Linked DNA regions of Oreochromis niloticus. The protein of the gene in region 3 binds, or shares a complex with, the protein of the main gene of each other region. Links are inferred from orthologs where the notes say so. Each region holds a gene or a part of one and is shown on either strand. Other genes may lie near its edges. The genes, in order: sf3b5, rbmx2, rbm48 and cript.

Evidence for each region.
Region 1: rbm48 (region 3) and sf3b5 share a complex: the UniProt entries of both Homo sapiens proteins name them as parts of the minor spliceosome. The link is inferred for Oreochromis niloticus from reciprocal best matches to the Homo sapiens genes RBM48 and SF3B5.
Region 2: rbm48 (region 3) and rbmx2 share a complex: the UniProt entries of both Homo sapiens proteins name them as parts of the minor spliceosome. The link is inferred for Oreochromis niloticus from reciprocal best matches to the Homo sapiens genes RBM48 and RBMX2.
Region 4: rbm48 (region 3) and cript share a complex: the UniProt entries of both Homo sapiens proteins name them as parts of the minor spliceosome. The link is inferred for Oreochromis niloticus from reciprocal best matches to the Homo sapiens genes RBM48 and CRIPT.

Annotation. Positions count from the first base shown.
Region 1 is NC_031978.2:12,069,991-12,078,020, reverse strand, and holds the start of sf3b5 (splicing factor 3B subunit 5), read right to left. Parts: upstream 3,318-8,030; 5' UTR 3,166-3,317; intron 429-3,165; 5' UTR 403-428; coding exon 142-402; 3' UTR 1-141. UniProt on the Homo sapiens protein: Component of the 17S U2 SnRNP complex of the spliceosome, a large ribonucleoprotein complex that removes introns from transcribed pre-mRNAs.
Region 2 is NC_031975.2:31,901,202-31,909,082, forward strand, and holds the start of rbmx2 (RNA-binding motif protein, X-linked 2), read right to left. Parts: upstream 3,380-7,881; 5' UTR 3,235-3,379; coding exon 3,230-3,234; intron 2,010-3,229; coding exon 1,894-2,009; intron 844-1,893; coding exon 792-843; intron 704-791; coding exon 574-703; intron 1-573. Other genes in the region: ap4m1 (AP-4 complex subunit mu-1), read left to right, coding at 4,602-4,659, 4,862-4,947, 5,377-5,483, 5,624-5,720, 6,142-6,252, 7,501-7,578. UniProt on the Homo sapiens protein: Involved in pre-mRNA splicing as component of the activated spliceosome. As a component of the minor spliceosome, involved in the splicing of U12-type introns in pre-mRNAs.
Region 3 is NC_031985.2:22,586,841-22,594,210, reverse strand, and holds rbm48 (RNA-binding protein 48), read left to right. Parts: upstream 1-4,895; 5' UTR 4,896-4,921; coding exon 4,922-5,050; intron 5,051-5,140; coding exon of another isoform or gene 5,141-5,212; exon of another isoform or gene 5,213-5,267; intron 5,268-5,300; coding exon 5,301-5,491; intron 5,492-5,573; coding exon 5,574-5,719; intron 5,720-5,917; coding exon 5,918-6,447; intron 6,448-6,543; coding exon 6,544-6,606; 3' UTR 6,607-6,709; downstream 6,710-7,370. Other genes in the region: peroxisomal ATPase PEX1, read right to left, coding at 1-30, 128-298, 387-483, 689-821, 916-1,001, 1,162-1,268, 1,439-1,559, 1,703-1,822 and 5 more; clxn (calaxin), read right to left, coding at 6,724-6,774, 6,862-6,966, 7,101-7,252, 7,355-7,370. UniProt on the Homo sapiens protein: As a component of the minor spliceosome, involved in the splicing of U12-type introns in pre-mRNAs.
Region 4 is NC_031973.2:10,624,198-10,632,001, reverse strand, and holds the start of cript (cysteine-rich PDZ-binding protein), read right to left. Parts: upstream 3,111-7,804; 5' UTR 2,975-3,110; coding exon 2,959-2,974; intron 2,789-2,958; exon of another isoform or gene 2,711-2,788; coding exon 2,645-2,710; intron 1-2,644. Other genes in the region: pigf (phosphatidylinositol-glycan biosynthesis class F protein), read left to right, coding at 4,810-5,037, 5,672-5,763, 6,154-6,270, 6,377-6,485. UniProt on the Homo sapiens protein: As a component of the minor spliceosome, involved in the splicing of U12-type introns in pre-mRNAs. Involved in the cytoskeletal anchoring of DLG4 in excitatory synapses.

The DNA.
Region 1 (8,030 bases), on a different chromosome or scaffold from region 3:
ACCAAAATATGAAAAAGTCTTCTCTTCTATAAGTAGACAAGGAATCCAGTGATGGTGGAGTCAAACAAGGACGAAGTAGCAGTTTTAGTTGGAAATTTTTTGTTTCTGACAAAAAGCACCCACTGCTCACTCCAGTGTGATCTAGGCATCATCAGGTTTATCTGCTGGTGGTCCACATGGCTGAAGCATCTTCTCCATCAGGTTGAAACGAACACGCGCTTTGCTCTCGTTCTCAGCTACAGCAAAGTAGTTCAGCAGGTCAAAATGTCCCATGTAGGAGCAGTAGGAATCACGATGCTGATTGACCAGCCATTCCCACTTGCTGGTGTCGGCGTGTCCTGTGCCAATATACTTTGATTGGAGATGCTCCAGCTGACTGTGGATGTTGTAACGGTCTGTCATTCTTGCTGAAATGAGTCCTGGAGGCTCTAAACAGGGGAAGAGATGAGAAAAAAGTTAGAATACAAATTAGAGATGGCACGATACCACTTTTTTATGTCCGATACCGATACCGATATCATAAATTTGGATATCTGCCGATACCGATATGAATCCGATATAGTGTGTTTTTTAATCAATAAAACTGTTTTTTTAATATCTTGCTGCATTTTGTATAAGTTCATACTCAAGTTTAAATAAACAATAACACTAAAGCTATTCTGTTATACCTGTATGTAAAAAATACACTGCACCCAAAATATTTTATAGTTCAGCAACACTGATCAATCTAATAAACTTAAACCTGCTCCATCCTTCCTATTCTGGTATTTTAAAGAGTACTTAGCAGAAATATTAAGCAACCTAACTAATAGGGTTGCAAACTCCCAGCAAAAAAAAATAGGGAACCACCCCCCATCCTCCACCTCATGATGCTTAATCGATGTAATCAACTTTAATTTGATGCAGGGTGAAAAAAAATGCACAGAATTAAATTATTTTTCAAGAATAATTAAATAGATTCAACATCTTTCTTCAACAGAATTGCAGACTGCACAGATGGTACCTTCCCAAAGGAAAAAGTACTATAGCTTACTAGAGTATATTAGACTTAACAGTTACTATATACAGAAATGGACTTCTATACATTTTACATCAGATTAAAACTTTGGGTGTAAGATTCAGATAATTATTTATTAAAAGCTAGACATTTTAAATGAGAATAAGAAAGAAAAGTATGTCTTTGTGCCCCCTTTTCCCTGTTCATGCCCTATCGGCCCCCCTGGCTAAACTTTGCTAGATCCGCCCCTGCACAGTTACCAGCCGTCAGCTAAAAGGATCCTGGTGTAGAAAGTAATATTAAATAAAAATTCTAACAGCAGCTTATCAAGTTTAAACGTGCTGCTGTTGTTCAGCCGCTGGTTTCCTCTTTCTGGTGCAAAGTGGGCCAAAAACAAAGAAGAGAGACGGACTCCCGACAGAAAAGCCGATCAGCTGATCGTTAAGCAGTTTCACGATTGAAGTAGCGGCAGGAAGGTGAGGGAGGGAGAGAGGCAGTCGCTCCATATATCGGTTGTTAAGCTTAACATGGGAACGCTTTACAAACATTCAGAGATGAACTTACACACTTGCTTTACTTCTCTCTGGGATAACTTTCTCAGAGATGAAATGCTGGTTTGGTAGTGAGGCTACAAATACACACAGCCGCTCTATCAGTGAGGCATACTGCTCCGACGTGCTACGGTTATGAGCCGAGTTACACCCTGTCGCAAGTTTTGTGAGGTGTTTTTTTTAATATTTAATGTATCGGATTACATTTTTAATTTCTCACCGATATCCGATCCAGTAATTTACGTCAGTATCGGACCGATACCGATACGTAATATCGGATCGGTCCATCTCTAATACAAATACAAAATAAATAAATAAAAATAAATATGGACCACACAATGAGATAACAGGCTAAAAACTTTAAGATGGGCTATTAATCAAAGTCTGTATTCAATTAGAACTATCTTTTACAGACTGAAAAAAAAAAAAAGACTACGACTGTGCTGTTTGTCTTTTAACAAAAGGCGAGGGTTCATATTTTGTCCTATTCTATAAATCCAGTGAATCCCCTTCCTTTGCACTGGCACAATTTTGCCCCTCACTAAACACCCAGTGTTCCCTTCAGGTTTTGGCAGGTCAGCTCAACCAAAAATGATATAAAGAGAGAGTTTTTTGGTCATCAAAAAGAAAACCAATTCATATGTTTGGAATACCTTTGACTGAAAAAAGTGACAAAGAACAAGAAATAAATTGTCTTCATTGTTTAAAAAGCTCAAAAGTCTTACCAGGTTAAAGAATTGCAACCTTAATACTGAGCAAAAATAACCTTGATTATTGTGTTACAGTATTTTTATCCCTTATCCCACATATTGAGACTGTGTCCCACATTTTCACTGGCTCTGGTTTTCCCAAATACAACACAGACACTTTTCTAAGGTCTGGTTTTTATCCAGTGGTTGTTAAGAAATAGGAAAAGGCTGTCACCACAGATGAAGTGCAGGTAAAGGTCCGATTTAGACTTCTGTGGGCATTCTGCGTCTACGACACAACTTACGTAAGTCGCCGACCTTGTTGCTGTCATTTATACTTGTGAATTTTGTTTTAGTAACAGAGTGGTCGTGTTCTGATGTTTTATATTTATTGCCAGCCATTGTAGAAACAAAGACTCATTTTCTTTACCAGCCGTTGTTCTTCTGAGTAAAGTCACATACCGAAGGCTGATTGATTCGGAGCCAAAATAACCATCTATTGTAAGCCGTTTAAGGCTTATAAGTACAGGGACCCAAGAATGAAACGCTATCTAACAGCAACAGCACATGCGGACATCACAAGAAACGTGCAGCTAAAAAGGAGACGCAAGTTCAGTCATGTAACCTCAATATTTTTCTTGTATTTTGTATTTACGAGTCTAGCAATGCCACAACAAATGTTAACCCGAAATGAATGATTATAATAGTTTGAAGCAATTTACATTTTATTTAAATTTAAAGTAAAGACATTTCTATGTAAACAGAGAAATTAACCGGTTTTTGTTTTCCTGCTAATGCTAATGTGAGGCTAATTAGCCATTGTTAGCCTATTCACCGTATCTGTAAACCGCTCTCTAAATGTTCCTTTTAAAGTTAATATAATAACTAGGAAGACAGATTTTAAGTTTAAAATACAACGGATACTTACATAAAATGTCAGGAATTCAAACACGAAGGTAGGAGATGTAAATAAATTACACGACTGTCTCCACCTCAACACAGCACCACGGAGCGATCACTTCCGGTTGGTTCGCCCAGTAAAATGAACCGGAAAGGAACATAGACTGTAAACTCTGCGTTTCTCGTGTAGATCCTAAATCTTAATTATATATATATGTGCATAGTATTGTAATGTATTAGTAATACACACAAGTACGAAGGTGCAATGCATCACTTAACACTGACAAAAAAACTGTTGTTCTCTTAACCCGCAGTTAATTATATAATTAAGGAAATACAGAGAATAACAATCAATCAATCAATCAAACATCAAAACGAGCGGCTCGTTCGCGACCTGTGTGCTTCTATTCGGATTTTTGAAATTTTGTACAGTATGTGAGGCAACGTTTATTTTACAACAAATAAACTGAGGGGCACTGGCTCAGAATCACATGTTGTGCAGTTACAAACAAATGAAAACATCTGCTTATCATAAGTTTAAGCCTAACATTTAGTATGTAGGGAATAGTAAATAATGTGCACATTTGCGATATAATGTGCGCGCGCGCGCACACACACAATTAATATTATATAATAACAATAATCAGTCATATAAATAGCATAATTCCAGATTTTGATCAACATCATATTCAGCCACAGCCTGATATGGAAAAAAGACAGAAGCCTATTAACCGTACATACAGACTGACTGGATGTGTCACCATATAACAAACTCTCTCCTTTATTCCTCATTCAATTCTTTCCAGTGATCACTTTTATAGGAACTCTGACCATATTTGTTTTGCTCAGGTACATAGGTTGGAAGAATGGTGCTAAATCTTGTCATTTGTTGATTAATGTCAACAAAATGAAAGATCTTGTGTTGAATTACACAAGCCCCATTACAGTCTTTCACTTTCTGGTCAGTCTGTGGAAGTCATTAATAGCTTATATATATATGCTAACATATATTGATGACAAGGTTAATATTATGGTTAATGTTGACCCCATTTACAAGAAACCTAATCATTGTTTCTTATTAGGATGTTAAGGGACTTTGGAATTAACCACGATGTTTATGTCACTTTGATTGAAAACATCATTACGTCCAATATTTCAATAACCTGACTGTGGCAATTTAAGAACAAACCACATTATTTTCAGAATCAAATTATTGGTCAACATCAAATTAAACTGGATAAACTGTGTCATCAGTCTGTTTTGAGGAAAGCCCGGTCTATTATTGCTGACCATGACCTCCCTCTCTATTCTGATTTTGAATTAATGCCTTCAAAACGACATTATAGGACACCTCCAGGTATAGAGGTGTATAAGGGAGGATTTGTGCCAAGAGCAATTGATATACTGAATAATGAGATGCTGTGATGTGTTTTTATTATTGTATTGAAGTGTTGTATATGTATATGTATGAATGTGGGTTCATTTGAAGCAACTTGGTGAAACAAAGGCAATTTTCCATGGATTTGGTTAATAAAGCTATTCTATTCTATTTGATCATATAGACTGGGCTCTAGGGCACGGACACCTTTGCTAGAATGTCAGCGATGTAGTAGCTCATCCACCTCATGATCCATCATAATACAGAGGTTATTGTATTGTGTGAGGTGGAGAAAGAAAGTTTTGTTGTTACTGGCTGGCTTTATTGCAGAAACTCATGAGAATTGAAATCCACTGAGAAGTCAAGCAGGCTTGTAAACAGTCAGATCCAGGACAAATTAATGTCATTTCACTAAAACTGGACCTCCAGGAGAAACAGTAATTCTTGTGAAAATGGAAAAATGTCCATAAAACAACAACTGTAACCTTGACATTGACAATGAGAACAGTTTCAGTGAAGAACCATCAGGTGATCACTGTGTTTCACTAAATTCTGACCAATAGTTCAATTCAGTTTAATTCAGTTCAACCCAATTCAGTTTATTTATGTCATACCAGGACATCTGTCTCTCAAATAGTCGAATGGGAGCAGTGATTCTTGTGAATTGTGGGAGTGAAGGATAACAGGCGCCTTGCCATTCCATAGGCTCATTAGCTGTTTGACCCAATTAGCTCAAAATGTGTCTGTCTCTGTTTGTGTTGCCTGTTTTCTGTTAAACTGCCAAATTTGTCTGTATGATGTTCTGTGGCTAGGTGCAAAGCAGTAATAACTTAACCACAGACATTAGCGTTATGGCACTCATGGGTAGGATGATGGGCAATATTCTTGGCTCAACATTTAATTTTGAGCCAAAATCACCACATTTCTGAAATGTTTACTTATATTTTGTGAATAGTTAGGCTCTATTGTCTTTAGATGTTATCTAAAGAGAATAGACTAGTGTGCCAATACATGTGGCACAATAGTGCATGGTTTGCCTCACGGCAAGAAGGATTTTTGAATCCAGTCTGGGGCTGTTTTTGTGTAGAGTTTGTATGTTCTCACTGTGTGGGTTCCTCCCACAGTCCCAAAATAAACATGGAGTTAAGTATACTGGTGTATAGCTGCAGTGCTAATTTTTTTAACACAGTTTTGGAAATAAATTTGGGAGCTGCTGTTTTATGCTGATATTTGGACAACTAAAAACTCAGGGTAAGGTTTAGGGTCATCTCTACAAGTTGCTGACTCTAACTGACATTCCTTGGACTTTGGTGCCTGTGTTACTGCTGTTTTATTCCTGGAATGTTAGTATTTAGTCACAATGGTATTGGACACTTTAAATTTTTGACCTGACAATAAATGCATACATTTTATGAATACATAACAGGCTGGAATTCATCCCAAGGGCAGTGTGAATGCCATTAGGGTCCCAACTAAAGAAACACAAAGGAAATAAATGTTGAGACTTCTGGTATCAGTAGCATTCAGATCATTTTCTGGGAGCCATGAAGGTCTAGTAAAAACTATTACTACATCTACTATAACATTTTACTGTCTGGCTGAACATTGTAAAATGTTTCTTTGGGGAAAACAATTTAAATCCAACATTTCTACAGAAACTATGAGTACATGACTCCTCTGCTTCATTAATTTTAATAGTTTTTGTGCATCTCGTAGACTGTGTTCATCTCTAAGGCGCGATAACAGGAAGATGTGCATTGAGGTTACCCGAAGGTAATTTTAATTTTTGCAAAAGCATTCTCCTGAGAGTTATATTTATTTTTATTACCAAACTTATTTTCAGTCCCAACCCTTTTAAGATAACATATTGCACTTTGGATGATTACCTGAATTTTGCATGTTCTTTATATTAACTGTTTGGTTGGTTGTTTATAGAGCCGAGTCATCTCTTTATTACTGTTCAGAGACCGCTGTGGTTATCTGGGTAGCTGCAAAAGATTGTGTTTGCTGGCTTTACCCAAGAATGTTTCTGCTTTTGATCCCAGGAGCCGTATATGCAGCAACGAGTTGGAATTCTGCAACATTTAGAAATAACTAGAAATCTGGAAGAAATCACTGGAAAAACAGAATAGTGCCATCAAAGTTACATTCCTATGATGTGTCAGATCAGATCAGTATATAGATACACAAAAGCATTTTCCATGTTTTAGGACCATTTCATTAAGGTTTATTTTTACATTTGATTAAACTACAGAAGACAACATATCACATTGAATTATGTCCCATGAGGACTGCTCTTCACTATCAACAGTCTAGCTCACTCGTTCTGTAGAAAAATATCTGATGAAAATAACGTGGCATGATGGATTATAGCAATAAAACAGGAAGGTGCATTTATCAAACTGCACCCCAGGGATGATATTCTCAGCAGCACATCCCGGCAGAAACCACTGGTACGGAAAACAAAGCTGGGTGACACCTTAGCTGTGGGGGAGATGGGATGTTGTTTACATTGCTTGTGGCTTTGCATATAACAGAGAAGCATGCAGAGTTTAGTGCAGCTGAAGGATAAAAACTCTCCAGCCTCTTGAGACTCTAATCCCTCAGTATGAGCTGAATGCAAAATAAGTGCAGCGGACTGTTAAAAGGGTTTGGCAACAATGTGAATAAAGGCACGATTATTATGCTCAGTCTTCTGGTCTCCACTTGAAGGTGCAACAGTGAGATAGAAGGTGTAGAAAAATAGGTGCCGCTAATAAAGCCTGTTAAATTATGCTTCTGCTCTACATTTCCCAGTTAAATTCCAGTCTGTAGCACTCTGATGTTCAGTATTCAACAGTTTTCATAACCTGCACTGCATTTTAAGTGGACAACATACTACTGAATATATATATATAAAAAAACTTTGTCTGCAAAAAAGAACAGAATTTAATAGAAATGGTAAAGAGGTAAGGGTTAGGGTTTTATTTTTTTAAATTATTATTATCTTTTTTGATTGGCTGGCAGAGTGGTGCAGTGGTTAGCACTGTCCCCTCACAACAAGAAGGTCCTGGGTTTGAATCCATTCTGTGGTCTTTCAGTGTGGAGTTTGCATGTTGGACAGGTAGAAGAAGACAGGTGGATAACAGACTTGTGTTACCAGAGGATAAACTATAAACTTAGACTGCAATAAATATGAGACATATGTGCCATAATTATAATAAACTTTGATCTTAAAAAATGAATTGACAAGCAAAGCAATCATTCATTTGACTTGTCTGATCTTGATATGTGTAAGAAAATGCAGTGAAGGTTTTTCTAGCCTCAGTCCAAGTCACTGAAGGTTTTCATATCAAACTTCCTCTTCATGTGTGAATTTCAGAAGTGCTGGAATGATTTTTTGTATTAGGGTCTGGTTATAGAGCAAACCTGCACAATTGAAGTAGTGTTGAAAGTTTCTTTGTAGCTGGTATTACAACATCTGCTGAAGAGCCCTTAATAAAAGTCCTGAAGTGTGTAACTGTCTTGCAATGTGT
Region 2 (7,881 bases), on a different chromosome or scaffold from region 3:
ATTCTGGATTTAACAGGAAGCCAATGAAGTGAAGCCAAAACAGGAGAAATCTGCTCTCTCTTTCTAGTCCCTGTCAGTACCCTTGCTGCAGCATTTTGGATTAACTGAAGGCTTTTCAGTGAGTTTTTAGGACATCCTGATAATAAAGAATTACAGTAGTCCAGCCTGGAAGTAATAAATGCATGAACTAGTTTTTCAGCATCACTCTGAGACAGGATATCTCTCATTTTAGAGATGTTGCGCAAATGGAAGAAAGCAGTCTTACATATTTGTTTAATATGTGCATTGAAGGACATGTCCTGGTCAAAAATGACTCCAAGATTTCTTAAATAATTACACTGTAGTTTAACTTTATTTGTGTCATCTGGTGGCTGGATAAATATTGCTGGGTATCATCTGCATATCAATGAAAACAGATGTAGTGTTTTCCCATATAACACAAACAGTATTATTTGAAGCACAGGACCCTGTGGACATCCATGACTGATGTTTGTGTTAACAGCAACAAACTGTAATCTATGAGACAGATGAGATTTAGATCAGTGCAGCAGACAGCAGAGTCTGTCGTGTCACCTTAATGCCATTGAAGTTGTCCACAGCCAAGATGGTGCTCCTCTGGTCCTCATAGCAGATAAAACAGAAACCTTTGGACTTTCCAGTCTTCTTGTCACGCACCAGGTTGATGTTGACGATTTCTCCATACCTGACAGGTTCAAGGAGAAAAGCAAAGTGAATCACGGTGCTCCCTCTACTCTGTGAGTAGTGTAGTTAAGAAATGATGAGATACATACTGAGAGAAGACACAGATCAGGTCTCCTTCAGTCAGCTCGTATGGAAACCCTCCTGCAGGAAACAAAACATCCAAAACGCTGTTTATTTATTCTCCAAAAACCCTTCATTACTTCATCACTAATGTCAGTAACATTAACACTGCAACAACACAAAACATTTAGTTTTGTGTTGTTGTGTGCATCCAGTAGATGCACACAACAACACTGCTATTTCCAGTAAAAATGTCTTTATTAAAGCTGAAGTAAAGGTAATGTAATGATTCACGTTATTTGATGTAAAATGAATATTTCCAAAAAGCCAACTCTATCCTATTTTTGGGTAGAAGTTCATCAAACCCTGTACACTCTGTGTGTACTATGAAACAGGATTTGTGGTTTTTAAACTAGCTTCACTTTGGTGTTACAACAGTGGTTCATGTATTACTACCTTAGTAACTTATGCTTATGATGCACAGCTAACCTGCTCCAGAGCATGTGATGTTCAAGATTTTAGATCAGCAGGTAGGAACTCACGATCACCTGACCAATTAAATCTCTGAACAATAGCTTCACCATTGCTGGAATCACTCAGAGTACAGATTTTAAGGCGGTATGAGGGTTATTGTATTACATTTTAAGTGGGAATTTTCAACACAGAGTACACGATCCGAGATGTCTCATGGATCTTCCAGATTGAGTGAAGTCATTTTCCAGAGATCTGATTGGTCCGTAGGGACCGATTTGATACCTGTCGATCATTTATCTGGAACATGAGAAATATCAATCGATGAAAAACCTCTTGAGCTTACTAATACTTGACATGTGGAGCTTAAGCCAATCAGGAAGAGTCAAAGAGTTTGTGCTGCAGTGACAGCAACTTTGAAGTAGAAATGACAACCAATGGGAGCACAGGAAATCCCTGACTGACCAATGACCTTGGCAGACTGGTGACCACCTGTCAGCTAAGAAGCAAAGGACGGGGAATCAGTCAGTCATGTGAGGATCTAGCTTTACAGAAAATCCTTTACTTCCTCTGAGTTTACATTTTTCCTCAGCTTTCAACTAATGATTATTTTCATTATCTGCTAATCTGTTGATTATTCAGTTTGTCACGCAGTCTCACCAACAAAGATCCAGGCGCTGTCTTTGTACTCGCTATGCCAGGAAACAGACTCGTTGACCCCGAGGCTGGCTTCGCGCTCATTCAGCTCGTTTATCAGCTTTACCTTCGTTAGAGGACTGAAAACACAGAGAGAAAAGAAAGTGTTTCACTGGGAAAGAAAAGTGTTTCCTCTTCAGAATCCTGGTTCATAATCTGTGATTAATGTGTGACAGTCATCTGCTTTAATAATAATAATAATAATACATTTTATTTATAGGCGCCTTTCAGACCCTCAAGGTTACCTTACAGTAGCACATAAACAATACCATAAAAAACATTAAAAAAGATGTATATATAGCAAACATGGTAGATAAAATTTAGACATAAACAATCATAAAAGCAAATATAAAAACTGAGCAATGTAAAAATGGCCTAAGACAGATCAGGTGTATGCAATTCTGAACAGATGGGTTTTGAGTAGTGATTTAAAAGAGGTGAGACAGTGTGTGGTCCGCAGAGCAAGTGGAAGTGCATCCAAAGTCTCGGGGCAGAACAACTAAAGGCTCTGAGTCCCATGGTAGTCAGGCTTTCATCTCTGACAACCCAGCGTTTAAGTTTTTATTTCTGCAAGGCTAAATTTTAGGATTTGGAGAAGAAACATGAGCTTAATCATCTATGAACTTAAAATAACAAGGCAAAAAAATAAAAAGACATCAGCCATAAACAGTAAAATATAAAAGAAATGTCATTTAAAACTAAACATAAGGTACAAACAGAAGTGATTTTTACACCACTGTTTCAAGATATGTGGAGCGTAATGACGTCTGTTTCTACAAACCAAACTCCATTCAGATTAAGACTGATTTAAAGCCCCGTGAACACGCTGACCATACAGGAACGCAACACGGGTGTTTTCACGTTGTGCTCTGTGAAGCTCTGATTCATTTTTATTTTAGTGAGCTAACACACATCCCGCAACGGTAAAGAAAAATACTCCTATGGCCAAAACAGGAGGCGATGATCACCTCGTCAAACTCTCGTCCAAGCTTAATTTTATGCTTTTTTACACTATGCCGAATTGAAATAAGGCTCTTATATGTTTATAATAACCGCAGAGAGTGTGTCTGATTATTTTATGGGGAAAGCTGGTGAAAAATACACATCAAATGCCAGGTTTTCTGTATGGAATCTGGGAGACGAGAATGTACATAAAGAAGTACTCAAACGATCTTCAAGCGTGCGCTTTGGCTAGCAAATAGTCATTTTCGAATGGCTACAATCATTACCGAATAGTTATCATTGATCAGTAAACAATAAAAACTTAGATTAAACGTTTAATAAGAAAATAATTACTTACTTCATGACCAACAACACGGTTTGTAAATTAACGTTGTGCTGAAAATGGCTAATCTCACTGACAGGAACAACTTCCGTTTGAATTCCCGCCCCTGCTGGTGCTGCCCCCTGCTGTTAGGATGTCTTTAAGACAAGCTACATTTACACGGCTAAATAATCTAAACTGTTATTAGTGAAAGTGTAGATACGACTGTATATTGATAGAAAGATTATGTAGCTGTATATAAATATTAAATATTAAATATTAAATATTCCAGTTAAATATTTTAACTGGAATTCCTTGTAAATTATCCTCCTGCACTGCTGGTGGCGCTGTGCGCTAACTGCGAGCTGATGACCCGGTTTGTAAACACTAACCTATCAACTACCCGGATAGCCGGGAGCTAGCTTACAAACGCATTTTTTTTTTAATTTAACCTTTTAACATCTTATTTTTGCTGTTTTGTCAACATTCATCCGTTAATTATGAATGGTTGTCATGGGAATTCGTAGGAGTTAAAATATGCTGGGTTAGCTCACTCGAATTCCCAGTTGGGATCAGTAAATTAGCTTTCCCTGCCAGTCATGGCTTCCTAGGAATACAAAAGGGTTAAAAGAAACCTGAAGTTTTACTTTTTTATTTATTTATTTATTTTTTACATCTGTTTCCCCGGAGGCCATCTGTGGGTGAGTGAATCAGTAACTGTTATTAACCTAAGCTTTACAAAATGAGCGTGAAAAGCTAATTTGCGCATGCTAATCGCTTTAGACTGAGGTCGCTTACAGTTTCCGTCATTTTAAAATATTTTTTCCACTTCCTCTAGCGCATGTACACATTAAAATCACATTTAAGGGTTTCTCGGATTACTTTGGTGCTAAAATCATATTCGGCATAAGAATCATTAGATCTGACTAAGGACGAAAGATTTTATTGTAACCTCAATTATCACCTGGGTGTTTGCATGAGACTTGACTTTTTATTGTCATTCTGCAGTTTCTTGCACAGCGAAGTTGGGTAGCTGGACCACAAAGTTGCAAAAGTAAGAAGAGAAAATAATATACAACGAGGGAAAAATTGAGAAAAGAAAAAATTAAAAGCAATATATATGTATACATATATGTGAGGAGCATGAGGAGCCGTGAGGAGCATGAGGAGCCGTGAGGAAATCAAATCGTGGACCTCGGGTACTTACTTTAAGTCTCCTCTAAAAAAACAGAATAACTTTTTCCTCATTGTACTTGATTTTTAACTCTTTCTTTTTAACTTTTCAGTGTTTTTATTTAGTTACCACTTTCTGTCACTTTATGCCTTTTTTGTTTGCAACATGATAAATTCATATAAGTAAATAAAGACGATTATTATTTTCTCATTTCTCCTGTGTGTCTTCAGCAGGATGATCTCTCAGGTCTTCATCTTGTCCTCGAAGGGGGACCATCTCATTTATAAAGACTGTATCCTTCTGTTCCCACAGCTGAGGACAAATGAAAGCTGTATGAATGGATGTATTAGTCCCCCATTAAATAAACTTTAATTGTAAATTTATTTTGGCAGTGCCAGTCCTCCATACAGTCGGTTATATGGGGACAAATCTGAATCTCAAAATGCGCTTTATTTATTTTGTGTGTAAACATCGACCTTGACCTGACCCACCAGTCCGTGGACAAGCTGGTAACGACATTGTCAGTATTTTCTACGAGAAGGTCACGGCGCTGACCGAGGACCAGCCTCCGGTCGTCATGGTAAATAAATTATGGCTTCTTTTTTATTGAGACACGCATACCTGCTGATTAATGCTCAGGAACATCCAAACACACAAAGTGGAGCTCAGACTTTTTGAAGGGTTTGATTGAACAGTTAACCTCACAGCAGTTAGATTATTGGTCCGTGTGAATGACTCGGACCCCACACGGCGTTCTGGTGGCTGTTTTGGTTCATTTTATTTAGATCCCAATGTTTCCGTGACGTGGTCAGCTTTCCAGCTGCAAAAGCTGTTGCAATGCAGCAACATCTGCACTCTGTCCTGACTCTGTCCAGTCAGCTCATAATTAAAAACATTTAAACCAACAATGAGCAGCTTGTTCTCAGATTTCAGAAGAAGGAATCATTATGTTTGATTTAACAATTACTTTCTCCTCATGTCTGGTTAAACATCTTTTGTTTTCCTGCAGAATCATAAGGATCTTTACTTCCTCCACATCAGGCAGGGAGGACTGTACTGGGTCGCCACGACCACGGTGGGCTCCTCGCCATTCGCCATCATCGAGTTTCTCAACAGGTGTGAGGTCATCCGTAAGCTGAGTGCTTTTATTTGAGGATGGCTGTGACCTCAGACAGTTTGAGGCTCTACACCTGATGGTGTTACAGCTCCTGCTGTCTATGCACACCTGAGCTGACTGAGCATGCTCTGTGTTGCAGGTTAGCAGCTCTGGTTAAAGATTACTGCGGCAGCCTATCAGAGAAGTCGGTGCAGATGAACTTCGCCCTCATCTACGAGCTGCTGGACGAGATCGTGGTGAGTCTCTGTGCTGCCACCTATTTTGCCTTTAATATACGTAAAGATGGACCTAGCCTCAAACCTGCACTCTTTCAGATATCCCCCAGGGGGCAACTCCTCTGGTCTGATTGTGAAGAAGTCTATGTGAATATAAGCATCTGACAGTGAGGTCTGTCGTTTTTCACATCGGACAAACGTATATGAAAGTTTTCCTGTTGGTGTGGAAGTGGAAGCAGTGTGGAGCTCGTTATCTCTCAGGTTTACAGTGAAGAAATAAAAACATGAGCTGTGGGTGGATCAGCGTGTTTTCCTCTTCGTCTGTAGTGCAAATTTAGCACCTCCTGTTCCATCTCTCTTAGAGGGAAACAAGCATTTAGTCACATTTTCTTTTGATGAACCTCTGCTCATGTAAACACCCTCCTCTCCTTCTGTCTGTCAGGACTACGGTTACATCCAGACGATGTCCTCTGACGTCCTGAAGAACTTCATCCAGACCGAAGCTGTCACCTCCAGGCCGTTCAGCCTGTTTGACCTCAGCAACGTCGGCCTGGTACGGTAGCTCCACCTCACTCCACCTGTTCTTGGTTTGTTTTCTTGACATTTAATAACTTCAAGGGGAACCGCAGCCATCTGTCCTCAGGAGGCATCACAGTCACATTTTTCTTTTTCAGATCATTCAAGGTGATTTGGCCCAGAAAAATAAGTACTGTCATAACAACAGGATTAAAAACAGGAGTTTCGGCTGAATCAGGTGTTCAGGACGTTTGCTTCACAGCCAGAAGCTTTGGGCCTTTTTCTAAGGCAGCAGAAAACAAATATGTGAGCCGAGGTCCATTCAGTGCTTTGTAAATCTGCCTTTAGACACTGTCTGGTCTTAGTGAGGCTCTGGATGAGCTGCAGACGATGTTAGAGTCGTCTAACCTGTCAAAGAAAATAATCTGAGCTATGTTTTTAAGGTCAGGCTTCTTGAGTCCATAATGACTCGAGACAACTGCCTGTTTTGTTTTCTTCCTCCAAATTTGAGGGTTTAAGGACGGATTACTCTGTCAGCGCTGGGCTCCTCCTTAAATCTGTGACCTTAAGTCGGTGCACCCAGGGCTGGAAGTTACGGGAAAACGGGTTTGACCTCCTCAGTGCACCACTGTTATCAGCTCTGCTGCTCAATACAAGTTTTTCTCCTCCTCCGTGTCGTCTTCTGTTTCTGAGCGCTCCTGGTTTCCCATCAGCCCCTGTGTCTGGTTTTTGTTAAACATCCAGGGAACGTGTCTGTGCTGTGCCGATAGTAAAGATCCCCAGGAGAAATGTTTGGCTGGTCAAACTTGGCTGTAAAAGTTAATTATGTCTCGTCTTCAGTCTGTTTGACTGTAAGCAGCTCTGTGAGTTAGTAAGGTTGTGCTCATCTGCCGCAAGAAGGCAAGTTTGATTTATCATCCTCACCTTTGTTTTGTAGTAAGAAAAGAGAGTTTATTTGAGAACAGGAGCACCACATTAACAAGATTTACTGAGCAGTGACAACAGCGATGATCAGACACCAGGAGAAACTGAGGGTATTCGTGGTGGAGGTGGGGTGCAAAGCAGCAGGCAGACGGGCCCGGTGTAAAGTTTACTGTTTTAGCTGAAACACTTCTCTGTATGTTTTTGATTTTCAGAGCTAACTGTACTGGAACAGAGACTTCAGAGCCTTCGAGGAGCTTTAATGGATTTTATTTTTAGTTGAAAGTGTTCATTCTGCAGTCAGCTGACAGTCTGCATTCACCGCGTTGTTTACCTTGTTTTTATTTGTTTATTCACGTTGCAGTTTGGAGCAGAAACGCAGCAGAGCAAAGTGGCTCCAAGCTCTGCAGCCACCAGGCCAATCCAGTCCAGCAGAGAGCAGGTAAACCCCCAAACACCTGTGGGAGGGAAACACCTGAGCGAGAAGACGCCGACAGCCTGACAGACGAGTGAAAAACAAGCTGCTCTCGTTTCAAATCTGTGGATGATCTGTGGGCTTGTTTCCCTGGAGTGTGCTTTTATCTTTTAGATAAACAAACCTCAAAAAATGAAGTCGATCTATATTTATATACATGTTTTTGTTTCTGGTGTAAAAATTTTAATTTTCCCAAGAAGATGAGCTGATTAGTTTAAGACAAAGCTTAAAAAATCAACATTCAGAAAACCTAAAGCTGAGGTTGAGGCA
Region 3 (7,370 bases):
GCATCACCTCATCCACCACATCCTGCAGGCCTGCAGCCACAGTGAGACAACATTACTCATCAAAGCAGGAAATGATTATCGATCCTGTCTGTCAAAAGACATTCCCACAGGTAAGAAAATATTTTACTTTGAGCAATGTGCTGCTGAAGCAGTGCCTCCGGGCCGTGTTCATGTTCAGGTGAGGCTGGTGCCCGCGTCAAATGATCCAGGTCATCAAGTAGAACAACAGAGGGCTGCCTCCACTCTGCCTGTTCAAAAATGTCCATCAGATTCTGTCTCACAGTTTCTACCCTTTTGCCTAAAAAGAAAACAATTTTTTTATATTAAGTTCAATTTTATCTTTCTTTTCCATTCAGACAGCAAATATTCATGAAGTCTTTCTTGACCTTGTAGCTTTTTGCAGTCTACCACTTCAACGTGTGCATCCAGCTCTTCTCTAGCTTTCCTGCAGAAGGCTTGGGATAGAGTGCTCTTCCCACTCCCCTGCAGAGAGAAGTCACAGCACAACATGTTGCAGACTTAACAAAACAATACTGGTTAATAAGTGTTCTCCAGTGAGCTTAAGCTGCCATAAAAACCAAACAAACATCAACGCTATTAAATATCAATTTATCTTATGTTAATTAATTATACTGACAGCCGTTGTGTTAGCAATAGTAGTTAACTTAAATGTTAAGTAAAGAGATACCTTGGCACCAGTGATGAGAAGAGCTCCACCTTGAAGTCCCCGACCAGTGGCACACAGCTCTCTCGAGAGGGGACTACCCAGAAGGCTATGGGAGATAAACTCAAACCCAGTTCTACAAAGCTCATCCATCCCACTGGGAAAAAAAACAAACAAACATGAGTGAGACTGATGGAGAAAGAATCGCCTGCTTAAATCATGCATTTGTACTGAATTAGCAAAAGACGTACCCAAGAATACTAAGAGAGGGAAGTTCTGGGTGGGGTGTTTCAGCTCCAGGCTTCACAGCTGGGGTGGTTACTGGCTCTCTGTCTACCTGAAGATGAGAAAAAGACATAACTGTGAACAACTTCAAAGACTTTTTTTTTCTCTTAAAAACGTGTTGAATTTTTTAATAAAAACTGCATGAAGCAATCGGTTTACATATAAACTGTTTAAAGACACAGATATATAATTCTCCATTTGCATGGTGATACCTGTATGTCTTTCTTCTGGATAACTGTGGGTGCTAGAAGAAACAGCTGATCTGAAGCTTCAGTCTGTGGTTCTGGTTTCAGCACAGTTAAAGCAAACTCTAGCTTTGCTATGGAAAAGAATAAAAAGTGAAGGGACATTATTTTTTAAAAAAAAGCTAATTTAAGATATTTATTATTACCCCTTTTTTTAACCTTACATAGCCATATGCAAATCTGTCTGTACATGATTTATAAATACACTTCTTTGGCTTGTAACGGAAGTGCAGGAATGAATCACCATCAGTTCCATGTAGGAGGATGGTGCCAGACCGTGCTGTCAGACAGGCTAAAGGTTCGTGACTCTGTGTGTGCAGCCAACCAAGGAAAGCTGTCTGGATCTCCTCATCATCCTCCTCAGGCTGAAGAGAAAAATGTCAAAAAAAATCAGATGGACAGAAAGGAAAGAAGCTGAACAGATTTTCTGCAATTCTGATCAAATTATATGTCCTTGTACTTCATTTACATCCGACACTGTAACGCAGATGTACATTCCAGCACTCACCAGTGGATTTAGGGGTTGTAGGCAAATAGTAGAAGCTACTTTGATAGCTGATTTCACTGACTTAATTCTTACTGTTGAATGGGCAGGGATATTCAGCCTGCTGGCCAGAGGCTCTGGAATCTAAAAAATGAAAGATACAAAAATTTTAACCAAAACAGAAAGAACTAGGGCACTGCGGTATAGCTAAAATACTGTTTATAAACTATATATTCTCCTCTTCAGACACCATACTCACCCATACTCTTCCACTGTGAATCTCTCCCTTGCTTCTTTCCTTGCATCCAAACAGCTCGGTACAATGGCACACTGCCCTAACCACCATGGCCTCCTCTTCCTTCACCTCCTCTCCTTCAGGTGTAGCAGTCTCCTTAGTAACTCTTGGCTTCTTCTTTTTCTCCATTGCCTGCTTGGTTCTGTCCCTCATTTCTTTGGGGGATGGGACTTTGGAGAGAAGGCCATATGTAATTGAGGAGTGACCTTCACTCAGCCTGGCATTGAAACTGTGGCTCCAAGGAAAGATGTGAATAGCATTAGTTGCAACGTGGCTTATAGTGCTGAGAGAGTGGGGAGGTGAACCGCACACTCTGTACAGAGAGTCCGTAAGGAGAGCGGGGATTTCAGGTAAAGGCGGTTGTTCCTTAACTGGGTCATAAGCGCCCTTTATCATGTGATGAAAAAGGCTTTTCAGGTCTGCTATGCCACCCCACTGGTGGCTGTTAGAGGTGGAGGAGGTACTTTCTGATGATGGTCCTGAAGGGGAGGAGAAATCCATGTTTGGCTGTCTGTGAAAACTTTCTGAGTTTGGGTTGGCTTTTAGTTGAGAATGTGTGTGGGTGCCAGTTTCTGCGCGGATCTTCGGGGACACAACAAGTTCTGTGAACTGCTCCAGGCGACCGTAGGGCACACGTGGAGAAAGTGAAGCTGTGCAGAATTTAAAAAAAATTAAACTGTATTATATAAGTCAAACATTTAAAAATGAAGTTGAGCAGGCAAACCATTATAACTGCAATATTTCTGTGTAACATGTTATTTGATAAACAACATATAACAGAATAATTGTATCAAAACTGACCTATTCGGATAAAGATTACCGTGTGGTTGTCCACCCACACAGGAAACACGGCATCTTGGAAAACTACTCTGATCTGATCCAGTAGTTGCAGCTCCAGTGCAGAACTGTGGAGCTCCTGGCGATGTCAGTCACACAAAAGTGATATATTAATACTTCTTAAGAGTGCTTTAAAAAGGAGAAGTCACCTTGTAGTTATTAGAGTGTGTAAAATAGTGCAAATTGTATGAAGACAAGTTTCACACACTGTATGTAACTAAATTACCCACCAGGATTTCCCAGTCATCAGCTGATACAGGCTCCACAAACACCCGATCCAATGATGAGACCTGATGACATGGCCTTAAGAAGCCCTGAGGGAAAACAAGCCAGTAAACCAAACAACTAGTAAGTCCAAAATTAGCTTCTTCTGTAAATACAGCGAAGAACAGATTCCTCACGGAGGGACTCTACCTGCTCTCCATCTGTCAGGCCCTGCTTCTCTCCTAGCTGCCGACACAGCTCCACTTTGTGGCTGTCCAGGCTAGAGCTGGCTCTGTTTTGAGTCCAGGTGAGGAACACTGGAGGCCCATGACCACAGGACAACTCCAGAGGCTGGTTCTGAAAAAGACCGTAAATGGGTTGACTGTGAATGCCACTGTATACAAAAGTATTCTAAAGTCATTGCCAAGTTGCATCCCATGCAACTTGGCAATGACCCCAAATTAGAGCAGCAAATCTACAACAGAGTGGCTGTAAAGGAAAGGAATCAGTGTGTTGCAATGGCCCAGTCAAAGTCCAGACCTCAGCCTGATTGAAATGCAGGGTCTAAAGAGAGCTGTGCATAAAAAAATTCATGCAAACACTGTGAAGTAGAGTGGGACAAAGTTTCTCCACAACACTGCGAGACACTAATAAAGACATAAATAAAATGGTTACTTCAATTTAGTGCTGCTAAAGGTGGTTGTACCAACTTTACTGAATCAAGGGGTGTACTTTGTTTTTCACATGACTGCATGTTTGCTGAAGCACCTTTTGTTTACCCAGACTATACCATGACCATCATCCTTGCTTGCAACCATGCTTGAGAAAACAAATCCTCCTCACTCAATCCATTTTACACAGTTTAGACTAATAATGACAGGGTTAACCCAGTTCTGAATCCTTTGTAATTAAAGGTCAAACTCAAGGAGAGAAAGCCACGAAACAGGAATTCCTGTCAGCCAAAAAAGTGCAAATATAAACAGAAAGCTCTCATCAGAAAACCACTGTTCATTCATAACAGCGAACAGGACACAAGCTAGAAAAGTCATTTAAAAAATACCCTTAGACCCCGGATTCATTTCTAACACAGTCCTTTGCCTCCACCAAGTGAAACCGTAAAGGAACTGCTACGAAAACAGCTCCACCGAGAAGGAAACAAATACTGAAATACCAATTGCTAACTACCCTCTCTCTCCATATGCTGAAGTATTGTGTTTGACTCAGCTCCTCTTCTATCTATATTCAGAGCATGTTTCCAGCCGGGCCGAAGTGGAGTGAATGGAGTCATGAAAAACTGATCTTTCAAATTCATTTGGTCTAAAGAGCAGCCTGACGCGAGGCTGAAGTCACATTTTATTTTGTAATGTGAATAACTGTCAAAGGGTCTCGAAAATTAATTTACAGCAGCATTAATTTTGTTAAAAAATAAAAGAATAGAACAACACACAGAACGGGCCAACATTTTAGCTAAAAATGGTTTAAGTCAACAAAGCTTCTACTAATTTTACCTAAACGATAGTGCTAGGTGGTTAGCTAGGCTATCTTACCTCGTTCAGGGAAAGCTGTGATATTAGCTTCAAGGGAAGGTGTAAAAAGCAGTTTTTTGCGTTGTTAAAAGTGACCGTTACGGGTTGAATGCCCTGATTGCTAAACATGATTTTCACATAGTTTTCTATTTCGCGTTCAACGCGTCAAGCAAGCTGCACCGCTAACATCAAGTGTGTGACAAACTCATAGTCGATCGATGTGCTCTGTGTGGGCCAGGCCAGACCAGAGTAGCCGATATTCGGTTGAACGCATTTCAGAATAAGACATCCAACGACGCCATGCTTTGAATGAATCCTATTCAACATGAAAATGAACCTTTATTTTGAAATGCATCAAGTGAAAAGTTCATTTCCACAAACATGGCGGCTCCCGTCAACAACAGCTCTGGCTGTTGGAGAGTCCCGGAGGTTTACAAACATCACGAACAGCGGAGAGTGTGCATTTCTCGACCAAAATATAGGGAAGGAAGAAAAGCCAAAGCAGTTAAGGTAAGAAGACGCTTCTGTTTAGAAATATTTGACCAAAAGAGCGTATCTTAAGGTGTGAGACACCCCCTGCTACGTGGGAACGCCACTTACAGTGTTGTTAAAAAACATCTGCTCCCGGATTTTATGGACTCCAGTGAACCACAGTGAGAGCCTTGACCACATCTAGATGATAAATATAACCACTATTCGCAGTTTTCACATGAGCATTTTTCCATCAGTGTACCGCAGTCAAGTGTTGCATTATTTGCAGGTTTACACCATAAATTTAGAGAGTCGTTACCTGATGGTCCAAGGAGTCCCAGCGATTGGGGTTATGACTGAGTTGATTCAGCTGTGTGCCCTTTATGGAGCTGTGGAGGAGTACAGGCCCCTGGACGAGTATCCTGCCGAGGAGTTCACAGAGGTCTACCTCGTAAAGTTCCAAAAACTCACAAGTGCCAGGTACAAGATGTAACTTAGACTGTTCATTATGCCTAACTTGCAAAGTCTGAAGGACCTTCTGAATAATTTGGTTTTGTTTCAGAGCAGCAAAGCGACGCATGGATGAGAAAAGTTTCTATGGTGGTGTGCTGCATGTGTGCTACGTCCCCGAATACGAGACTGTGGAAGACACCAGGCTCAAGCTGCAGGACCGGAGGAGCTATGTCATCCGGGCTGCTCAGAAGAGAGGTATAATTTTATATCTATAGGTTATATTTTGCCTCACAAAAACGACCACTCCAATGAGAAACATCTTAGTTCCTCATTAGTCCAAGCAAACAATTTCCACCATTTCCCTTTTGCACTTTTATTTTAATTTGACTCGGATCTTTTTGAATGATGGGGATTTCTAAACTTTTTTTTCTGTCTCATTTTATTATTGCAAAGTGAGAGAAAGGGAACAGAAAGAGGACACACAAGAGGAGCCTTCTTCATCAGAAACAACTACCATGTCAGATGACAACATCCTCACACACAAACAGACCTCTGGAAATGACAATACAAGGGAGACTTCAAACGTCAGCCACTATTTAGGCTTTCCTCCACTGCCATTACCTCCCCAAAAACATCATTACCATAGGCCTAAAAGTCAACATTTACCGACAGAGGATAAAATGGGGACTTTACACAATACCTGTGCTGGCACATTCGAGCAGCGAGAAGGGAGTTCAAGGAGCAAACAGACCTTATTGAGCAGACAGGCAGCACATCAGGCTGCGGCAGTCAGATTTCTTCCTCGGACCACACACTTGGAGAAACGGAAACGCAAAATGGAAGAGGCTGAGGAGCCCTCCAGTACTGTTTCTGGGCAGAATGAGCCTTTGATTGGACCAAAACTACCAGAACCATCCAAACTGGACATGGAGGATGAGTCACTGAACACAACTGTCAGCCTGATCAGGAACACAATGAAGCAGGTACATGTGATTATATTGTTTTGGTTGTAGTTAAGGACAAAATAATATTTTCACTATGATCTAAATCAGTTAAACCAGTTTCATCGTCTCTCCTAGGTGACATCGAGTCCAGACATCAAACCAGTGGAGAAGAAGGTCAAACCACGCCGTCGGATTTGATAGAGCAGGACTTTTTATTTATTTATTTTTTATTAAAAAATTTTGCATCACAGGACCATCTGCCATTGAGGTTAATATTAAAGATGTTTAGGCTGGGTATGGAGTTATGTGATTTGTTTATTGTTCCATTTGTTCCTGAAATACGCGTCCCTCAAACATCTCGATTCTCTGAAAAAATAAGAAAAGCAGACTGTAAGATTGAGAATTTTTGATGGGGAAATTTAAAGAGCTTAGAAGCTTCTCATTACAGATTACCCTGAAGTCAGGAAGGCAGGTTCCAAAAGCTTCCAGCAATAGGTTTTCATCTTTCACAGCCTTTTCAAAATCTTCAAAAGACAATTTGCCATCATGGTCATAGTCCTGTGGGAGGAAGCACCGTTGGCAGAGCTGGTAAACTATTTACAGACCTAAGAATTTTTTAAATAGTGTTTTGGGTTTGTTTTTTGTTTTTAAATCATGTGTAAACAGTTATATCTGTGCAGCAAACAGCTCACCATCTTCTTCAGTATGATCTCCACCAGGTCTTTGATTCCTTCGTCAGGGTCCTCCTCATTGGGTTGTCTGATGAGCCTGCCCTTCAGCATATGAAGCATCTCCTCTCTAGAGATGGCGTTGTCACCATTCAGGTCGTACACAGTGAAGCAGTCTGAGCCATGCCAAACACAGGGATTTTTTTAGGTAGATAAAGCTACATGTGTGAAGGTGTGAGAGTGAGCTTAAGCAAAAAAAAGTAAGATTGAGAAGTTACATTTTATTTTTTCATC
Region 4 (7,804 bases), on a different chromosome or scaffold from region 3:
CTGAATGCTACCTACCCTCTTAATTCCCTAGTTTTTTACAGGATTGCAGGATTGTAGTAAAGGAATAAATTATGCAGAACTGACATTTTTCTTTGTGCTTCTGTGCTTTTGCACAGGAAAGATGAGCGAGGTTATTGGTAATGTCAGCCATGTGCTAACTGTCTAATTTTACTTATACTGCACGGTGTTTGGCCAAAAAAAAGTTGTTTAGCCCGTGCAACAGGGACAGTGATTGATTAATGTACTGTGATCCACTCTCAGATCCTGTTTAGGTAGCTGTTTGGGGAGTTTATTTCCCACTTCCAATATGAAGAGAAAGGTTATACAAGCCAGGAAGCACTGGATCTCAGTTAACCGTTCTCATAGAGCAATGATTGATATCAGCTAAGTGGGTAAAAATCTTTATTCTTTCCTTTCATGTTTTTTTCTGTAATTACTAGTAACGGATGCTAATAAGATGCTTTCTTGAGAGTAGCTTTACATTAAAAGTTATAGCCTTATAGTTATAGCCTTCATCAAGTCCTCAGTGCTTAGGCTCAGTGGAGTTCACCTTACAATAACAACACATTTGCTCTGTGTGATTAGCACATCATAGCTGCAGATCTCAGGCCATCTATCAGTGTTTTCCTAACCACTTATCCAACTGTCATAGCGTGAGAGACACGGTACAGCAAACACAGCCAACACAGAGAGACAACTTTTCACTCTCAAATCCACATCTACAACTGATTTATAGTCAACCTAACAAGCATGTTATCATACTGTGGAAGACACATCAGCTCCCAGAAGAAGTTTGAACCCAGAACCTTCTTGTAGTGTGGTGACAGTGCTAACCACTGTACCACACTAATCTCAGGGCAAACCCGGTATTTCCTTGTTTCTCACTTCAGCAGCACTTATATAAACAATTAATGGTTAAAGAGTGTCATCTAGTGGTAAGAATTTAGTTGAAGTTTACTTTAAGAGTTAAATTCTAAAAATTGGACTAAAATGAGAACTTTTAAAGTTCATAGAGTCACATTATAACATGTATAAATGTTTAAAACATATTCAACCATTTAAAAAAGTTTACTTGCTAATCTCATGATACATCAGTGCAGTTCTTTATATGTCTGCTATGCCCTCCGATTGTTTGGCCACTTCATGAAAGACAGCTGCTCTCGCCTGTCTTTGTTGCAGTTCTCCCACACCTGACTGCCAGAGCCGTACGGGATTATGCTTGTTTGTAAAATCCATGTAATTAGCTCCAGCAGCAAGTGCCCCTTTGCATTTAGTCACCAAGCTAAGAGATGCATGTTGATTCAGGATTACTTATAGTGATCTTGGGAGTTGAACTGTGGCAAACCTGTGGGACCTGCTCTGTTCTGTTGTGTTTGGTTAAACTTGTCTGTATGTTAGCAGAAGCTTTTGTGGCCAGGCAGGGAGCGTAGGCTTTGTATTTGTGCTTTGACATGTAACTTGGTGCTTCTTTTCTTTTTTAGCAATAAAAATAAGTAGTTTTTTTTCTGTTTACTTTATTATTGTAAATTGATTGTAAATAAATGCCTTGTTTGTTCGACAATCTTGTATGAATGTTTGTGATTTGGTCTGCTGGTATGTTATGTTGTACTCCATGCCCTCCATAAACTGCAGATAAAAGCCCTTTAGATATGCAAGTCAGAGATGATTGTAGGCTTATATTCTTGAGTTACTATCACTGGTTTTAAAGAAAAGAAAAGAAAAGAAAAGAAAAGAAAAGAAAAGAAAATTGGATATCAGGTCATCTCCAAAGTACATGTATGTACATTGTGAATAATAGTAATAGTAATTTTGGACTTTAAATTATTTCTTTCAACTGTTCCTTTTCCAAGGGAATAATTGTACAGAACACATCTTGAATGACTTTAAAAAAACAAACAAAAAAACAAAAACAAGAATTGGGTGCACAGGTTTGGATTTTCTATAATCCACACAGGGTCAAAAGTATACATACAGGATCAAAAATATACACACACTATCATAAGTTTTTCATTAAATGGTGCTGAATGTTCTACAATGTATTTTAACCTGACAAGGCCAAAACTTCTTAACTCCTCCTCAGTGATCATGATTGACTACAACTGGTAGTTTCGCTTTGCTAACACAAAAATAATTTGTTTTACAACACTCATTGGAGTCATCAATACTCAGAACAATAGGAAAGTCAAAAGAACTCGGTGAAGATCTAAAAAGCAGAACTGTAGATTTACAAAATTAGGTACTTTTCTTGGAGCAATTTTAAACAACTGTGGACTCCAAAATCGTCAGTTCAAACAACTGTATGTAAATACAAACTACTTACATGTGCTACCACTTTGCCAAGGTTTGAATGAGGACGGAAACGAGGAATCACCAAGGCACAAGATTGGTCATGAACTAGAAACTTTTCGAACACCATCGTTCATTTGAAGTGACTTTTATACTGCAAAGGACTGGTGGTAGCATAATGCTGCCAGTGATACTGGTAGACTGCATAAGGTGGATGGAATCAAATAAGGAGCCAGAACTATGCCACAAACCATATTCTTATTTTTCTTTTGTTTGTTTTAAGTCATTCAAGCAGCCCTTGCACACTGGTGACATTATGCCATTGAACTGAAACAAATCCAGATTTTACTCTGTTCACCTGTTGTATTCCGGGCTCCATCCTTCCAGGTGTCAGGAGTGATGACCTTACCGAGCTTCTTCTCACCTGGAGATAAAAAGCAACGCAGCATATGTAACAAAAGCAACGCAGTGGATTTAAAGGAAATAAGCCTAGAAGGTGAAGGTATGTTTTCCTGAACCAAAACAACAGTGAGGACAGTAATAACAACAGTTAGCATCACATAGCGTTAGCCAGCTTTCTAAGGATCATCGAGCTTCTCTTAACGGGAAAAAAGACATTAGAATTGAAGATCTAAAATAAATTAAGTGATAGGAGAATGGCGAGATACCTACACTTTTCACAAACCATTGTCCTTCTTTGTTTGTTAAAATAGAAGCAGAAGCGTTAGCTGCGTTTAGCTTTCTCTGTTAATGTAAACTTCCGGTCGTTACTTCCGTTTCCTTGCAGCTCGCAAACGATTGATTGGTTAAAGCCTAGATTTCAAATCTCAGATGCCATTGGTTAGCTTTACTGCGCTTCGGCGAGGGTCCAAGTAACCCGTTCTGTGATTGGTTGCAGTTTCCCCTGTTCATCTGTAAAGTGGACGAAAACCTGTAAGTTTTCTTTAAAAATTAAAAGTTTGCTGCTGCATTATTTCACACGTGTGAATATAACGTGTGAAATATAACGTATGAAATACGTGTGAAATAATTAAATCCAATAAATAATAATAAAAAACTTTTAAAGCTTACAAACAGTAGGCGACTATAGCAGTCAGGCAGAGATAGTTTAAAGAACACTGAAGAATCTCATTTTTCTATTTCCCGTCAGAATAACGTTATAGCAGTGAAAGTAGAAAAAGAATGGCCCTCACTGATAAATAGTGGTTCACATCTAGCTACATGTGACAGTGTTCACATGTTCTGATTAAATAGGGAAACTGATTAAATAAAGGATTATGTTCAAACAAGTATACCACAAACATACAATTTGTTTTCAACAAAAAAAAAATCTGTGGTAAAAGTGGCTTAAAACAAAATCCACAATAATAATAAAATGAACGGTGGTTTATGGATGTAGTAAAGGAGGATAGGGTGGAGAGGGTTGGTGTGACAGATGAGCAGGGTAGTGGTAGGATGAGATGGAGGCAGATGATCCACAGACCCATAAAGGGAGCAGCTGAGAGATCTGAAAATGGATTAGAAAATGTTCTACACAAATATAAAAACACAAAAGTCTCAATGACTCCTTTGTCACTTTGGATTGAATTACACTGGACCAATTGCATTGGCCCAGGTCTCACATGTGAAAGATGAGAAAAGCCCATCTCCCACCAACCATTCTCACCACCTACTACAGAGGGAGTATCGAGAGCATCCTGAGCAGCTGCATGACTGTCTGGTATGGAAACTGCACCGTGTTAGATCGCAAGACCATACAGCGTAAAGTGAGAACAGCTGAGAAGATCACTGGAGCCTGTCTTCCCTCCAACACAGACACTTATTGAATCAACTGCATCCACAAACCCACCAGCATTGTGGAGGACCCCACACACCCCTCACACACACTCTTCACCCTCCTGCTTTCTGGTAAGACATACCGAAGCACTCACGCCCTCAGTGCCAGACTACAAAACAGTTTCTTCCTCCAAGCTGTCAGACTCCTGAATACTCAGAGACAAGACTGACACACCCACACACCTTTATACATTCCATTACCTCAAGTACTTATTGCACAATGCTAAAGTCTTTTTGTAAAACTATTGCACCATCTTGTGTCTGTATGGTTCTGCTCTATCTGGTGTCGCACTGTTTTTTGCCATTTTTGCACACTTGCACTTTAATTAGTCCTGTGTTGATTTACTGTTATATGTAGCACCATGGTCTTGGATGAAAGCTTTTTCGTTTCACTGTGGCAGCAACAAATGTATACTAAATGCATGGCTGTCTGTAATATATTTAAAGTTGTTAAAACTATAATGTACTTTTATTGAACTTTGTCTTGCCTCATCTACAAGGAATAAGTATTGTACTTTTATTTTGAAGTGAAAGCGGAAGTGAGCATGGTTCCATGTTTACGGAAACAAGGTCAAGCGATTCATCTATGGATGTTACCTGTGCTACAAATCCAGCGTTACGTTGAGGTTTAAAGTGTTTTGTGTTCAATTTGTCGGTGTCCTGTTGTAGTTCGCTACAGCCTTCACAATGTGGGACCATGAAATCAGAGCCATGGCGTCCACTCACGCTATCATCGCCGCTTCGGTGTTCATGGCGACGGTGCTACCTGCTGTGCTCGTACCGGGCTTCTCGGTGTACGGCACACACCTGCTGTGGCTCTACTCGGTGTCCGCTGCGGTCACCGCGGTCAGCGTGGCCGTGTTCTGGCTGCTCGGGATCACACCGCCCGCCAAGAAGCACACGCTGGGATACAAGGTGCTGATAACGCTTTAATAATGATGGAGTGATGTGTGCAGTGCCACATGGGCTGTTTTATTTTTTTTAAAAGTGCAATCAATGCAGTTTTTAAAAGAGGGTTTCATTTGTTAAGGGGGGAAAGCGATCCAAACCGACCTGGCCCTATGTGAAACACTAATTGCCCCATTCAAATTTTGTCTTGCTAGTCCACAGAATATTTTCCCAAAATTCTAAGGGGATCAATAAGATGCTGTTTGGCAAATATGAGACAAGCTTTTGTTTTAAATTTGGTCAGCAGTGGTTTTGTCCTTGGAACTCTTCCATGGATGCCATTTTTGCCCAGTCTTTGTGTGTGGTTTGTGGATTGTGGTGTAATGTGTTGCTCTTAGACTACTCCACTTTGTCAGACAGACTCTGTTCAAGTGATATTTTAATTCAACACGTCTGGCAGTAATCAGGCCAGGGTATGGCAAGTAAAATTAAAGTTGCCTTTCCAAAAAAAGAAAAACATCTTGACTTATTTGTATATAAATTAATGTGAATACTTGACTCTTGCATGTTCATCAAACCAAGATCTTTTTTCCCAGGAAGTGATCTTTTTATATCTGGATCTTAAAGGTTTGACTGTTTTCTCGCTGTTTTTTTTCTGCAGCTGTCGAGGTTGCTTCGCTCCTGCCTGTACTTCTTCCTGTCGTGCCTGTTCTTCCACACTGTTGTTGTCTTATACGGAGCTCCACTGATCGAGTGAGTTGTTGTTTTTGCTCGTGTTTACATGTATGTGTTTAACAGAGGTTGATAAAGAGAGACGCAGAGAGCAGAGATCGCCACAGTAATACACAATAAACTAAGGATCCATGGAAGGATCACACATAAATGAATGAAAACAGCAGGCAACTACAGAAATCTTCAAACCCTGAAATGATTCTGTCACTTATAAAAAGTCAAGTGAACTGAATTTCCCAGAGGAACCCACCCGAGGGATTAATAAAGTTTCATCTAATCTAATCTAAAGTGTTTTACTTTGTCTCTGCTTGCTTTTTTATGTGCTTTTTTTTTTTTAAACAAAAAACAAAACTGTCAATAACGCTCTTATTGTAGTTGTCGTTGATACCGTGAACCTATCATTTCTTACAGATCTGCCTTAGAAACATTCTCCCTTGCTGTGCTGCTGACTTCGTTAACCACGCTGAGGTGTCTCTGTGTCCTCGGCCCCAACGTCCAGGCCTGGATACGAGTCTTCAGTCGCCACGGGTAAGGCTGAAATCATTTTCCTTCTTTTTCTTTCCTCCTGGCTTTTCACATGACTCTGTGTTGAAGATAGTAACTGTTCTTGCTTTTTCTTTGTCTCTGGCTCCAGAGCTATGTCTGTGTGGGACACCTGTCTGCAGATCACTGTGGCCTGCACACTTGTTGGAGCCTGGGTCGGAGCATTCCCCATACCTCTGGACTGGGATAGGCCCTGGCAGGTAATTCTATGCATGGACAAAGCGTATACTCTTGGATTTGTATCCTCACATTAGGTCTTATACAGTCTAGCATGTGACTTTTTTATGTTTAGGCTCCTTTTTCATTAAATTACATGCTGCAGTTTAATAAACGGGTTCCTGATATTTCCTCTACACACATTCATTTCATTTAGATAAAAATAACCCAAGAACTGGCTCAGTCAGTAGTCTGGCTGTGGCACTTTGTAAGCAAATTAGCTGGCAATGAAGGTACATTCAGTACTTTTTCTTTCCCCAAGTGTCGACGCAGCAGATGGATCTACGTGTTTAATTTGGCACAGAGTTTGTGCCAGATGCCCTTCCTGACACAACCTTCACATTTATCTGAGCTTGTGACCCCGAGGCTGGGTTTGTGTCTTCTGGTCTGAAACCAGGGATCTTTTCCATCCCTGGTTTAATTTGTTAACCACTAAAGCACGGAGAATCAAATGTCAATTTTAAATTTTTTTTGCAAATAAAATGAATATTTCTTGCTTTGGAAGAGAGAGTCTGACTAAATCTCTAATCCACTGTATGTAGAAATGTTCTCTATCCACAGTGGAGTTTTTGCTCTTAAGACAGGGAACTAACACGACCATTTAAACCATATTACCCGCGAAGCCTCTCTTAGATTTTTCTGAGGTTTTCTCAAATGACTGCTGGATTCACAAAGGCCTCTTAACTGCATGGACTTGTAAATTACTGGTTTCATTTTGATGAATGGAGGAGGTGGATGTCCTTGTGTTTTCATTATTCCGTTAAAAATACCTTTAAAATGACCTTAAATGGGTACTTTTCTGCTTTGTTAGTTGGTGAGTAGCAAAAGTGTTGTAGAAGGGGAGAAAAGGAAGAGAAAACAGTAAAAAAATTGGAATACACGTGTATTAATAGCAGCAACATCAGGCTGATGTGCTGTAGTGACAGAAGTAAAGATTGTCTTTCAAAAGCAGGAATGAAATGATAGGTTGCTATGGTGATATATAACACAAGTGTGCCAGAGGATGATACTGGGCACTAACCTGCATGAAGCCGGTGTGGTAGCTGTCAGAGTGAAAAAGCTGGTGTAAATTACACATTTTTTTTTTGTAGTTGATTTAAGTTGTTAACTTCCAAATTCTCCATCACGATGATTTTTTTTTTTTAAGCACTGGACAGAGTAATCAGCCAATGAATAATGAATTAGATTGTTTTTTTAATGGAAAATGGAACACATTAAAGTTATAATTGCACAGGGAATTCTGTGTAAAATGACTGAAGGAAAATGCAGAGGTAATTGGGGTGTAACTCAAATTGACAGACTA